3 linked regions of the Schizosaccharomyces pombe genome follow. The gene in region 3 interacts genetically with the main gene of each other region. Each region holds a gene or a part of one and is shown on either strand. Other genes may lie near its edges.

The links. Genes that interact genetically often act in the same process or in processes that back each other up.
Region 1: mutations in hip4 (region 3) and SPOM_SPAC1687.14C together harm fitness more than expected from each alone (negative genetic interaction), as found in Schizosaccharomyces pombe (2 studies listed by BioGRID).
Region 2: mutations in hip4 (region 3) and nur1 together harm fitness more than expected from each alone (negative genetic interaction), as found in Schizosaccharomyces pombe (2 studies listed by BioGRID).

Annotation. Positions count from the first base shown.
Region 1 is NC_003424.3:927,301-930,320, forward strand, and holds SPOM_SPAC1687.14C (calcium-binding protein), read right to left. Parts: upstream 1,371-3,020; 5' UTR 1,144-1,370; coding exon 913-1,143; 3' UTR 501-912; downstream 1-500. Other genes in the region: COP9/signalosome complex protease subunit Csn5, read right to left, coding at 1-81, 189-271; SPOM_SPAC1687.23C (uncharacterized protein), read right to left, coding at 1,859-2,173; serine/threonine protein kinase Gsk3, read left to right, coding at 2,639-2,657, 2,706-2,896.
Region 2 is NC_003421.2:449,709-453,504, forward strand, and holds nur1 (protein nur1), read right to left. Parts: upstream 2,056-3,796; 5' UTR 1,708-2,055; coding exon 757-1,707; 3' UTR 501-756; downstream 1-500. Other genes in the region: SPOM_SPCC4G3.12C (ubiquitin-protein ligase E3), read left to right, coding at 1-21; DNA repair protein Rhp42, read left to right, coding at 2,661-3,796. UniProt on the Schizosaccharomyces pombe protein: Has a role in meiosis.
Region 3 is NC_003423.3:655,384-663,138, reverse strand, and holds hip4 (histone H3.3-H4 chaperone, HIR complex subunit Hip4), read right to left. Parts: upstream 4,515-7,755; 5' UTR 4,055-4,514; coding exon 3,038-4,054; 3' UTR 2,908-3,037; downstream 1-2,907. Other genes in the region: SPOM_SPBC947.06C (spermidine family transporter), read right to left, coding at 1-199; rrp1402 (ribosome biogenesis protein Rrp14-C), read left to right, coding at 2,054-2,755; hsp3103 (ThiJ domain protein, glyoxylase III), read left to right, coding at 6,031-6,816. UniProt on the Schizosaccharomyces pombe protein: Component of the HIR complex, which functions as a histone chaperone that cooperates with cia1/asf1 to promote replication-independent chromatin assembly.

The sequences.
Region 1 (3,020 bases), on a different chromosome or scaffold from region 3:
AATGGCATGCCTTGAGATACATGCCGTAACATTTTCAACAAAGCTACTGCTGAGATTTTGACAGAACGGAAAAACTCTGGGCTGTTATTGTTAGCATTACAGGATTTATAATTTTAATAAATTAACGTAGGGAAAAAAATTCAGAGACTGGTATAATATAGCTAAAAACCAATGAAATCTTAACTTACTCATGTTTCCACGGCGATTCACGAATTTTAGCCCTCTCTTTTTCTTCATCAAATCTAAAAACATTTTCGAGTTGATTATTCATTGCAATTTTGTAATTGTAGTCATTAAATACAGAAAATGAATCATTTGTGGTATGTGACGAAAAAATGTTGGAGAACTTTTCGAGTACAAGTAAAACTCGCTATAAAGACATATTTTTAGATAAAAATTTCGTTTATTTACTTAAGCATATTAGTTGATTAAAAGCATTTTAAAACATGAATTCTAGCCTGTAAAATGTATGTTTATTGAATTTCGAAAAGACAATATATTTTGCTTGGTAACTGGTATCTTTGAGAACTTGTTTTACTATGAATGAAAACAGACAATATAGTATTAGTTCATTGAAATCCTATTCACTGAATTTACACAATCGCCAATCCCTTGTAACATATATCATGAAAGAGACACACGAAGATGCTAAAAATCAATAAATCAAGGTTTACGAAAGAATGTAGATTCTAGTATTGTTGTTCAAGCAGGCTGTGACACTTATCTTTAGCATCAATTGTAACCTACAACCAAGTATATAAAACAGGCATCTATGGCTTGAAAACAAAAAGAAAACACGAGGAAATATTGTTTAATCTTTTTTAGTACACTAAGTCCATCATCATTAAGTCATTAAAGTGCGAGAATGAATCCCATAAATAAAATGAAGTTTGTCTCCATTGATAAACAATCTCAAGATATATGAATCCACAATTCGGCAAATTCTTCACGCGATACTTTACCATTAGTGCCAGCTAAATCGAGCATCAACTGAAGCTGTTCTTTAGTCAAATTTTCCCCTAGTTGAGCGCAAGATCTTCGAAGGTCTTCAAAGTCAATGTACCCTTTGTGTGTCACGTCAAAAAGATCAAAAGCCTCTTCTGCTTCTTCATCCATTTCAAGACGTTTAGTACTGACAGACATGGTTCCCCTAAACTAAAAAACTATTCAACAAGGAAACGCAAATGCAAACAAATGAGATAGTGCCAAAAATGCTAAAATGAACGAAATAACAGTAAAAAAAAAGAAAGGAATGAAAATCAGCGTCCGATGGCTAGAAGAGATATAATTTGTTCAACAGTTATCAAAAAAAGACTAGAAGTGAGTTAAAAATCCAAACGAAAAGACAAGGAGGAATAATATGAACAGATAGACAATCAAAAGTGGAATAACTGCGTTTAAATACTAAGTAATCAGGCTATTTGATGCAATTTGAAGGTGGTACAAATGGAAATTTCGTGGTGCGATAAAGTGGACGAAACTTGACCTTAATGAATATATGGTATAAAAACGTTAAGCTGAATTTTTTTTTCTAAAACTGCCAAATCAACAAGGATATTGAAGAGACAGTTGGAAATCTCAAAATTTATGTATAAAATGTGTTCAATTGACTTTATTTACGTGCCAAGCCAACCTACTAAGGCGTTATTAGCTAATATAATAAATTGACCGAAGCTAAGGTTGTGCGCAATATTTAAATAACAAAACACGTAATACAAGATTTTTGATGAGTTAATAGATCGACTTGCAAAATGGCTTTAATGATGTAGGCTATCAAGCATAATCTCCTTTAGCGGTGTGGCATACTAATACTCGTGTTATATATTATATATGAATGTTTGACATTATTTATACACATTCATTTTTTAAGGATTCTTACTTTGTTTATGTATTTTTTAACATATTTGAGATGCTTCTGAGACATTGGTTCGCTCTCTGATTTCGTAGTTTTTCCATTTTTTCCTTTGAGACAGGGAGGGATACGCGATTTGCATATGCTAGTATAAATTTGTCTCCCTGTGAATGTTCCATTATTTACTGTATATGAATTGCGACAGCAGTTGCTACTGAAAGGTAGGAGCACAATTCTGATGGCATTTGAAAAGTCAAACTTCCTACTAGATTTTATGTGAATTATTTTAAAAAATATGTTTTTCTTTTCTAAAATCCACATCGAATTCAGTGTTTGCTCTAGCAGTTTCAAAGTATATCACTCTAAATTCGGTAACACTATTCAATATAACGGACTGGAGGAATTAAAACTCACAATGTGATAATCGCGTATACGTAAGATGGTTAATAACCATGAATTCAATTTCTCAAGCACGAATTTTTCATTAATATACGTACTTTTTTATGGTTATTGTAATAAATAAGAGGAAAGAATGAACCCTCTTTTCTTTGATACTTGCGCCGAGAGTTTACAGTTTTATGATTTGCTCATGTCCCGTAATGTTACCTCTTAGAAGTACGCACTTTGTATCATGCTACTATACCCCAGAGATTATTCTATGGTAGAACTTCCTCCACTACCACAACCCGTACTCCACGTTCATCACGCCAAGAAAACCTCCTTTTTAAGTCCTCTGATAGCTTTTTTTTCATTTTGTAATTTAACATTTCTGTATCATCATCCATAATGAATCATGGTACTAAAAGTAAGTTGGCTAACTTCGATAGTGCTGTTGTTCTAACCGTATAAATAGTTCCTGTGGACCCCTTTCGTATTATAAAGGAAACCGCTCGTGATGGGTCAACGGGAGAGGTGAAGCAACTTTCTTACACTTCGAGTAAAGTTGTGGGCTCTGGAAGCTTTGGCGTGGTCATGCAGGTTCATTTAATTGAATCAGACAGCAAAGCCGCTATAAAACGCGTTTTGCAAGATAAACGGTTTAAGGTATGTATTTTTATTGAATGCAAAATGCGAAAGGAAGGGTTAGATTTTACTTTATTTTTCTGTGAAAACCGCACACTTTTGTTTACGCTGAAGATACGTAGCGCGCGTGCTTCGTCAATATACG
Region 2 (3,796 bases), on a different chromosome or scaffold from region 3:
CAAGCTGAAGAGGAAAATTAATTTTGACTTGAAATTAAAGCTGGCCTTATTCTATGTTTGTTCACTCTCATTTATTTTCCTTCATCCGTCAAATTTGTTGAATAATTGTTCGCACTATTTGCTTGTGAATGAAATCTACATAATAGCTCTTCCCATTTTTATGGCTGCTATAACCTAAAACTGCTTGACCTTGTTCAACTATCTCTTTGGGACTTTCTCATTTTTCTCATTTATGACCTTATTGATAAAATTTTTGTAATTTTCTACTTGCTGCACGGAAACGAATTGTTTTGTTGTGCGTCTTTTGTTAGAAATAACAATTGCCTTTTTTACAAAGCTGAGTTTTTTCTAAAAATCATTTTAGTTAATCGGTTTGCACGTTTAATATAATTTATTTTCCTTTTAGAAATTTTGCTTCGATTTTTACATATTAGTTTAGATACAAAATTGATGCACATTATCACTTTTAAATATATTTTCTAACAAACAAGAGTATTCATATTTATAATCATGTAAGGATTTTAATAAGAGATCATATTGAATAAGCTTAAATTATAAGGATTTGGTTCTAAGTCGATCATCGAAAGTTTTTAGAATGACGGTGTTTGATACCCTAATTAGTCTTCATGAATACAATTATTTCAGGTCTGAATTGAGTTATGACTTAAAACTTTTCGAAAATAGGAATTAACAGAAACAACAATGATAAATGGAAATGCAGTGGGTCATTCAAAAACCATGTAATTCAGACAAATATTAAAAGCGAGAACTACCATCACTAAGATGTGGAAATCTCTTAAATGGTGAGCTGCTGTCACGACTAATTCCGCTGTCATGAAGATGATGAACACTTCTTCTTTGAAGCGCTATAGGGGTACGGGGTGTTGAAGTGAGATGATCATGTGAAGAACTTCGGTGTTCAAGGAAGGTATCTATGGGTTTTCGGGGTGTGAAATATTCAATAGATGCGGTTGTGGGACCACGAGTAGTATTAATGGCAACATCTCGTTTAACTACCGAAAGTCGAGGTTCTACAAATTTCTTATCATACTCAAAGAATACCTGGCGATGAAGATATTGTTGATCTTTCAGCAGTAAGGAAAATTTATTGACAAAATGCAATGTTGTAAACGAAAGGAGAAAAGTCAACAAAGTCACGCGTAGAGAAGTGCTATAAAACCATAAAATCAAGGCATGAGCAGGAGAAAATAAGCAAGCAAAATTTAGTAAAAATTGATTTGGGCTCCATACTTTCAATTCAAAAACTTGTTCATCGCCATCATCATTATTTGAGTGCTGGAAAACTGGTTTTACATTGGGAGTAGAAGTCGTCGTGCGTTTGTCTTGAGGCAAAGTTCTATACAGCTTATTTTGAAATCGAGTGCTAAATATGAAATTGAGAAAGCTGATGAAAAGAAAACAAATTGAGAGAAATGATAGGAAGGCACGAAACCAGGACCTAGAGGTGTTGATGGACTGCTTATCCACAAAGAGCTGGTTGCGTTGAACTGGTACATGCGTACTTTTTATATAAATGCGCATTAAGAGAAAAATAAAATTGACAGCCAAGCTAAAGGGAATCGAATAACGATCTGATACTTTATCCCACTCTACACTGTCAAATTGTTCGCAAACATAGATAAAGTAATCGATCGGAAGATTGATTATTTTAGAAGTCAGCGATGTACGACGGATTAACTTTCCCATTGAAAAGATTTTTAAGCAATGTTTTGAAATTCAGGTGTACTTTTTGAGTATAAAACAACGCCGAATTAGAAATGAAACAAACCATGGACCTGAAAGGTAAATTCCGATATTCGTATACTAATGAACGAAATTAGGGCACTTCTCCGTTTCAGGATTCAAACCTTACGTATTAATTAGAGTAGCAAAGGCTTTTTAATTAGCTAGGTCGAGCTTGCTATTATCGACTTCAATTGCAACAATGAAGGATAAAAAGTTTTTTATTAAGATAACTTTTTAAATCCGGTACGTAAACAAGTGTGCAATAAAAAAGAAAAAAAAAAGAATTTGCTTTCGCAGGTTGATGTTCCTAAGTATTGGTGTTATTGATGGTTTCAACTTTACCACTACTACTGCTGTGCAAAATCAGTCGTCGATTTAAAATTCCTATTTTTAGGAAATATAAGCTCGATCAGTGACATAAATTTAAACAGTTTCGTTTGACGTTTTACTAATTAATGAATTATTTCCTTAAAATTTAACGGCTGAAGTTTTTTTTGACTTATGTTTATTGTCTCTTATTAATAGTGATGCATGTGGTTTAACTTTTTATTTAATAATTTATTTTCATGTTATGTTTCAGATTTAAATTTTTTAAATCTTTATTTCACGGTTGAAATCAAAAGTAGTTAATATAGCTCATAATATTCAGCAAACAAACTACTCGCCATTCTTGCGCAGTTGATACTGACCTCTTTTTCAAAGGACTTTTTAATAATCATCATCACAGCCATTGTTAGAATTTTGCTTTCTTGTTGGAGAGATTGCTTGAAATAATAATTCTTTAACTAAGAATATATCAGATGTGGCTGTGATTACAACTTTTTATTCAATTTATCGTTATTGATATTATTTGAACCAGCGGTTAAACAAGCATTATCCTAAAGTTGATTCAATTCACATAAACTCTTTGCTCAATGCCACCCAAACGCAAAGCATCCAAGAACTCTGTTCGCGGAAGGAAACGTAGGACACGGACCAATAACTTACCTCTTAATCCTGAAGTGAAAGAGGAAACTGTTGTATCTTCAACTCACCGTCAAACTCGTAGCCAGTCGAAAAAGCCAAGTTTGTCTTCCTCAGCGGAACCTCCTTCTGAGAGTTTAGATGACAATATATCAGCGTTAAACTCACTTCAAAGGAGCGCATCTTCATCCGAAAAAGGTTCCGATGAAGACAATGAGAAGTTAGGCAGCTCAGAAGATGACGAGTTTGACGACGATTTTGACACTTGGGAACAAGTTGATCTTTCTCCTAATAAACAAGAAGATAAAAAAGATTTACACATAGTCACACAGCATATCACTCCTCAACTTACAAAAGAATCGAAGAAAGGCTCTTCTAGTGCAATGGATAAAAGCATTCGATTATCTATTCACATTATGCACTTTACTTGCTTGTTGTACCATGGGTCAGTAAGGAATCGCTGGTTAATGAATTCCTTACTTCTTGATGGGCTGCGCGATTTGCTTGTCGAAAAGCAACCGTCCGTAGTGGAGGCGTGGGTTTGTAGTAGCCAGACGCACGAGGATTTGTTAAAATTGTTAAATGGGCTTCGGATGTGGTGGAATAAATCTTTTAAAATTGAGAGTCATGGGCTTCGGAAGTTGGGGTATCGTACTTTGAAACAAGGATTTGATATCGGCTTTTCGCCAGAAATATTTCATAACTTTCATGAATACCAAGCATCCTTACTTTCGCTAAAAGGAAGCCGGGATTTGGCGGCACAGGGATTTACTGCTCTCTGTCGATCTCTGAATCTGAAAGCAAGACTTATATTTTCTCTTCAACCTTTGACATTTTCTACTGCTTCCTATGATGATTGGTCTCCACATATCCTCCCTGAAGAAACTAGTACATCTATAGATGACGACCTCCGCTATCCTATTTTTTGGACGGAAATCTATGATCAAAGTGAGAAGAAATGGATTGCGGTAGATGCGGTTGTCTTGAATGGGGTATATACCAACGATATGACTTGGTTTGAACCCAAAGGAGCGTATGCAGAGTCAAAACATCTACGAATGGGTATTGTTGCTGCATATGATAACGA
Region 3 (7,755 bases):
ATGTTGTCAATCCATAAAGTGCTGTATTCAATAGTTTAATTGAAACTGGCCAATTCAACGGTTTCTCAGGATCGTCTTCGCCATTGAATGTTACAAGAAAATCGCTGTCAGGATAGGAGTATAATTCCTCCTCAACGTCTTCATCGCACTTCTCTATTTCGGAGGATGAGACGCTGTTCAAATGATCATTTTCTTTCATTGTTATAAGAAGGAAATTAATCACAGACGATGTCTAACACTTTTTCCTAGTTATATTTTTCGTAAACCTCGGTGTTAGTGCTTTCAGAGCTGCTATTTCATCCCAGTCTAGTTATTTGTAAACAGCAAATTCAGTACGAGGCCGAAATTTTCATTATTGTTGACAGCCTCAGCATCGCCCATACCATCTATCTAGTCTGGACTCTAATGTTAACAAAAAAGCATTTGCTGTAAAATATTATGTTAAAAAGGTTAGAGATACCTCTTTAATATAAATATTTTCCCAAAGGCACATTTTTTACCATACAGCTTATAATTATATAACTGCATACCATTATAAAATATGTCTTCACATAACCCATCTTTACAGTACCACACTAAGTTACCAGATTTTGATAAGATAGGGGTCCTAATGCAAGTAGCTGTAGTGGAGCTCACATTGTATAGAACTTGAGCTCACATCGGTCCATCCTAGCAATAAAGCAGCATAGAAGGTCAAAGAAGCAATTTTGATTAAATGTAAAAAAAAAAAAATGCTGCGTGGATGCATTACTTTTCCAGCTTCACTAGGCCAATGTCCCTATATGCTGTCCATGGAAAACAACACTCTATGCACTTGAATTTTCCAGTTGGGGAAAGAAAGAGAATGCGCGCTGGGTGTGATAGAATTGGAATAGTGCTGGATAGATAGTTGGTATTTTTACTATGTTTATTTTTTTTAACGGTTTTTTTCCTACGAACCTTCATAAGAGTCATTTGAAAATACTCCTATTTTATTATGGAACAAAAACACGCTCAAATCATTTTCGCATTCTTATAAATATTTCAATTCGCAAGTATCTAGGGATGAGGTTCAAGACAGCGACTGCGACAATGCAATTCAATTCCATTCCGTAGGAAAAACGAAATTGTACATTTTCACCAAAATAAGAAGACCTCTATCATCATAAGTTCCTCTTTTTTGTTTAATTTCGGCCTATATGCTGCCCTACATGCTTATGGGGATTTTAAAAACGGAATTGCCGTTTTCTTCAGAACCCAACATCCGTCTTTATATTATGCGAGGCTGCTTCTTGATAAAATCCAACAACTGAAAACAATCTTGTTCCTCTTGGATAAGGGATATTCTTAAAACACTCAATGCTTGCGTATCATCGCATCCCTTCCAAATACATTTGGTTCAGGTATTTGTTTACATCGTCTTTAGCCTTTCCAGTATGACTGTGGAATCAAAGTCATAACGAAAAACATAGAAAATTATTTTCATAAATGTTTTTTTTTACAAAATAGAGAAACTCATAAACGCGGAAATAGACTATTTACTCTTTCCAATATTGTGGCTTTCTGCGCGGACTAAATACAAATTACCCTACCCATTATCTCGCTTAACGGTATGCACCTTTTCATTAAACAATAATAACGGCGCGTAAACTTTTGGTAAATACAATAACGTATTACGTTAAATTTCGAAATAGAGGTTTTCTTTCAGTCTTTTCCACACTACAAGTACATGTCTTTATTACAAAAAGGCGTTCTTTCAATCTTGAATAGCCATTGAATCTTTGTATTACTTTAGCTTTTTTTCCCTTTTATTAAGTTTTCTTTCAAAGCAATTGTTTTTGGATTCGCAAACTCCATATTATCGGGTTTCTCTTTTTTTGTTCGTGGGTAATTAGGCTTCATTTTATTTATTATCAATCATCAATTCAAAAGTTTTTTTCGTTTAAGAAATTTTAACATCCCTTTTCTATTTTTATCGGGTTGTATCGGATTTTGTTTATTAACCCAATTCTGATTGTGTATTTTCATCCTCTTTCTCCATTATTTGTGATTCCTCCTTTATCATCGGTCTGTAATGGAAACAACTGAAGGAAAAAATGACTTACGAGCAAAGCTTGCTGAAAAGATTCAGACATTTCGCTCTCAAAGAAAAGCTACTGAAAAAGTAGACCGTGCTCTACTTTTACAGCGCAGAAAAGAAAAGGCAAAAGCTCGTGCTGAAGCGAAGAAGTTAGCTAAAAAGGAGTCAAAGGCTAAACAGGAATCAAAAGTGGCAGCTTATGACACTGGGAACTCTTCTGATAACATTGCTGACGAGGAAAATGACAACCACAAGAGCACTATTACTTATGGTACTTTAATAGTCGGAGATGACAAATTCTCGAATGGTAAACTAAAAGTTGCCGGAAAAAAGCGAGGTCCTACTGATGTCTTTGGCGCTCTAAAGCATTTGGAAGCCAAGAAACGCCGTATTGAAAGCATGGACGAAGAGAAAAGGAGAAAAATTGAAGAAAGTGATAAATGGCATAGAGTTTTGCTTCAGGCAGAAGGGAAAAAACTCAAAGATAACGAGCAATTGCTTAAAAAGAGCATTCGTCGCAAAGAAAAGGAAAAGAAAAAGTCTTCAGACGCTTGGAAGGAAAGGAAGGACAACGAAAAAAAAGCAATGTTAATGCGGCAGCAACGTAGAGAAGAAAATTTGAAAAAACGTAGAGAAAGTAAAAAGTCTAAGAAGGGGAAGGCACCAAAAAAGAAGAAGCCATCCAAGAAAAAATAGACGCTTAACTTTAAATTTGTTCAAAAATTATACTGGTCTGTTGGGATTTAATGGTTAACAAGGAGGTTTGGGTTTAAATAGCTTTTTTTGTCATTTGATTATGAATGAATACATAAATTTACTCATACAAACAGTAACACTGAAACAAAATTCTGCCTTAAAAAAGAAATAGATAATCAATGCGGTGTGATGATAATTGCTTTTTATTAACGAAAAAAATATGATATAAAAATAATATACAGAAATCGATTGACAGATCTTCAGGTCACTACATATGTATAATTATGGGATGCTACTAGTTGGAATTGATTTCTCTGGTTCAGCTTGATGTTCATCAACGGGTAAGGATGCATTCTGAGAAAGAACGATGCTTACTTGTTGAGTAGGTTTCGAAACGACAGAAGCATTGCCCTGATCAATAGGTAGGGAGGTCGAAGGTTTGAGTTCCTCCGTAGAAGGATTAGTTAAAGCACTTGGAGGAGAAATGTGCTCATTAACAGTAGCGGGAGAATGCTTTGGTTCAGAGAGAGGTGGTATAGGGGGTGTAGATGTAAGAGGTGTCTCAAGTTTAACAGCCTTTTTGGTATTTTCTCCCGTACTTTGTTTGGGCACTGAAGAGGATGTCTTTTTTGTGGCTTTCTCTTTGCTTTTCGTTGTTTTTGCTTCCTTCTTAGAGACATCCTTGGGAACCTTTGCATTTTCCCGTTTTGCCTCTTTTAAAGCATTCTTAGCAGCCATTTCAATGGACAAAGTCCTTAATGGCTGCTCGTCCTCAGATTCAATATCCCTACTATCGTCAAAGCTAGCATCCGCTGAAGCCACCACCGCAGAGACAGCTGGCGCAGGGTGTGTAGCATTGGATAAAGATGTTTTCTTCTTTTTCTTAGTCTTCTTTGATCTTTCGATTTTCACAGTATCTCCTTCGGCCACGAGTGGACCGCTAAATACAAAAAATCCATCTTTGGTAGCGGCAGCCTTCTCTTCAATGTAGAGCTCAGCATCATCAATAAAGGGATCTGTTCTATCGTAGTATTCGTCAGCGTACCTCCTTTTCCTTTTCTTTTTCTTTATGGTCTGTGTACCATCGGCCGCCCCATTAGCTGCTTGTTGCTCATCAACATGTGTACTTTCGCCCTCAGAATCCGCTGAGTCTGAAAGATCATTTTTTTTTGAATTCTCCTGAACAGAGGGTCCATAAAGTTTTTCCACTTCTTTTGCAAAATTAATATGTACGTTTTCTTTGCCTTGCAAAGGAATTTCCAAGCAAATAATTCGTTGGTCGCCAGACAAAAGCGACATGACGAACAAAAGCGAAGTATAGTGAAAACGTAGAAGAAAAAATTTGCAAGGAAAAGTAATCCTAACAAGCGAAAATGGTAGTTTTAATTACAATTGAGTCCAAGACTTAGTGCCGTCGTTTCACTGAATCCAATGGATAAGTTAATAGAAATTTTCAATTCAAGAGCACTCTTAACAATTGAACAAGGCTAAGAGTTGATAGCATTAAAGAAACAAACTGCAGACCAAAAAATGAGAAATTGGACGCTTGCACTTTTTTGTAACTGAATAAATGATAAGTTCTGCGACGCTGCGTCAAATTTCTATAAGAGAGTGCAACAACAAGTGATTGAACTAGAAGCAACAAAAAATGCAAAGTGGTTAAATGATAAACAATAATTTGATTAGGAGGATGGTAAAGTAATACTTTATTTGGTAATAACTTTGAAACGAGTACGAACAATTCCCACAGTATGGGGATAGATCAAGTAAATAGCACGTTATAATGCAACTTATACTGAACAACATTAGCGCAGCAATCCTCACTTTCTTAAAAGTAAAGGGCAAAAAAGAATGCTCCTGGTGAGGCTCGAACTCACGACCTTCCCCTGTCATTATATGAGAGGGATGCTACCACCGACTGAGCTACAGAAGCTTGTGGTACACAGAAAAAAGTTACATTATATATAGGGTAAATTTATTAATTATATGAAGAGATAAATTATCATTTCTAATTACTATACGTATATATGAGTTTGGAGATTTTCAATGGAAAGAAAGGAATGAAAATGATTAATTGATCTGAATTTTTTGTTTTTAAGGAAAACTTTATTCATGGAAATTGGGTATTCAGTTGGCATTGCTTTATCAATACTCCACTACTAAGTAAAGAAAACTGTTCATGTGTGCACAGTATCATGACTACAGAACTGTATGAATGGGAAATTGTCATTTTAATCATTTAAGCTCTTAATAAACAAATTGTACTCAATATAAGCTTACTTCTCATAATCATTTCTCCTAAATAGCTAGCTGCTCCCCAATTCGTTATTCCCTTTCTACTGCAGGTCGCATTCATTGTAGTATAGACATTTGCGACTCTATCGAAGAATAAAGTCATAACATCCTAGGAATTTTTTTTCAACGAATATTTTTATTCGTAATTTTCTAGATTACAACTCCTGATCTACCAAGGCAAAAAGAAACCATCGTTTGCTTTAGTGCCAACAAAACATATACAGCAGTGGTTTATAGTATATTGTGGTTTTCGTTACAACTCACCATCCTTTTATTAAAAATTTAGCAGGAAGTGGTAGTTAGTTCATTTTTTTGATTTTTAGAAAAATTCATGTCGAATACACATTTGTTAAAGAAAGTTAACGAATTATTGATTCAGCCGGTGAACCAGAAATTACCCGACATCTCTTTTTCTTTCGTTGTGTGATTATAACAGTGCTTCAGACATATTTTGTTCGTCTATTATTCGACTTTTAGAATGTAAACATGTGAATACGCAAACCTGCTATTGTACGAGGAATTTATTTGCTCAGTGTACGAGACCCTGGCCTTTTTCATCACTAATACTTGGCTACGCATTGCTCCTGCTGTCATACGGAATTTCGAACAAACCAGATGCAAAATGCATTTCGTAGCCACATTACAAGTTTAGGGGTGAATTAGCAAAAAATAAGTCGTTAGCTATATGAACTTGCTGCATCTAGAATACCAATAGGCAATGAAAAGAGCTATGCCGTCTAAGGAGAAAATTTCTGTAACTGACATGGAAATAATTAATCAGTGGACGTTGCACTTTACTTAATGTTTACGTAAAAAACCGATAAACGAAAATTTATCGAAGAAATACTAATATTTAGAGTCCAAAAAAAAGACATAAAAGGATGGTCTTCACCGAAAATCCAAACAATTTCATCGAACTCTTTCTGTCTTCAAGGAGTTATACATTGTAAAGCACTATACAAACTATTTTTAACTCAAAAATGCCTGCTAAAACTAGAAATGTCTTAATTGCTTGCTCTGATTATTATGGACCATTTTATAAAGATGGTGAGAATACTGGAGCATTTTTTTTAGAATTGTTACATCCTTATTTGGTATTTAGAGATGCTTGTTTCAATGTTGACATTGTTACTGAATCAGGGAAAATCCAATTCGATGATCATTCAGTAGCAGGTCCGGCAATTGACAAGGGATCTAAGGGTGAAGAGTTTTTGAGCTATGATGATCACATCGCAAGTGGCCCTGAGCTATCCAAAGCTGAAAAATATGTTTTGGAAAATAAGGATGATATGTTTTGGAGGATTGTGCAAAATTCCAAAACCGCCGACGAAGTGAATCCTGACAAGTATGACATTTTCTTCGTAGCAGGAGGACATGCCACTCTATTTGATTTTCCAAAAGCTACAAATTTGCAAAAACTTGGTACTTCCATTTATGAAAATGGGGGAGTAGTAGCTGCCGTGTGCCATGGTCCTACATTACTTCCATTCATGAAGCGTCAAACGTCCGACGGCTCTGTTTCAATTGTCTGTGGTAAAGATGTTACCGCCTTCGATAGGGTGGCCGAGGATAAATCCAAACTTATGGAAGCGCTGAAAAAATACAACTTGGAGGTTTTGGACGATATGTTGAATGATGCAGGAGCCAACTTTATCAAGTCACCAAACCCATTCGGTGATTTTGTAATAGCAGATGGAAGATTAGTTACTGGTTCCAATCCTGCAAGTGCTACATCTACGGCGAAAACGGCTTTGCGTGTTTTGTAAAGCGAAACGATAATAAAGCTATTGGATAATGAGTCTTTTTAAACGATTAATTTGAACGTATGATGAAATTTATGTATACAGGAAAAATTAATGATGCGAACATAATTTGACGCCGATGAATAATAACACTCAAAATCATTGATGATATTTAAAGTGGATTACATACACTAGAAATGAATAAGATTGAATATATACTATAAAAAAAAATTTGTCAGAATTTTTCAAAAAAACGATTTCACATTTATGAATCTATATTGATATATACTTTCATTCATCTGTAAATACAAAACACCGTAGCAACAAGCAACAGTACCACAAATCGCTCCTTCGAACACTTTCAAGTTTTTCTGCCATGACCTTCTTTATGGAAGACTTTTCCATCTATACTTATAAGAACATCGCCTCTGAATAGATACAGCTACTTATTCAACTGAAAAAGAAATTTACATTTCTTTAAAAATTGGGGAATCGTTTAATATTTCCTAAACTTAGTTAACGTAAACGAGCGTTTGCAAAGCCTAAACTCGGCTACTGTCATTGCCGGTTTTTTTTAGTGACACGTTAGATTGCAGTATCATTTGCATTGCATTAATTATAAGTATAAACAGTATATTTAGATAACCTCGAAATGTATATATTTATGTATCACGGAGATTTTGTTTAGTATTATAATCTACGTAAGACCACGGAAAGCAAATTTGTTTGCATTTTAATCAAAACCATTTTTATAAATAGAAGCAAAAATGTTGTTTAAATGTTCATTTACTGCATTATTAGGTACATTCCCATGGAGTGTCTGGCTATAACGATAGATAACGCAATTTACCACAGTTCTTTGAAGCACTGTTGGCAAATTTACGCTGAGGTGGGCTTTTAAATTCGTTAAATAATTTAAGCTCTTAAGTTTGTAGATCCCTATACAAAAGCGAGACTCAATAA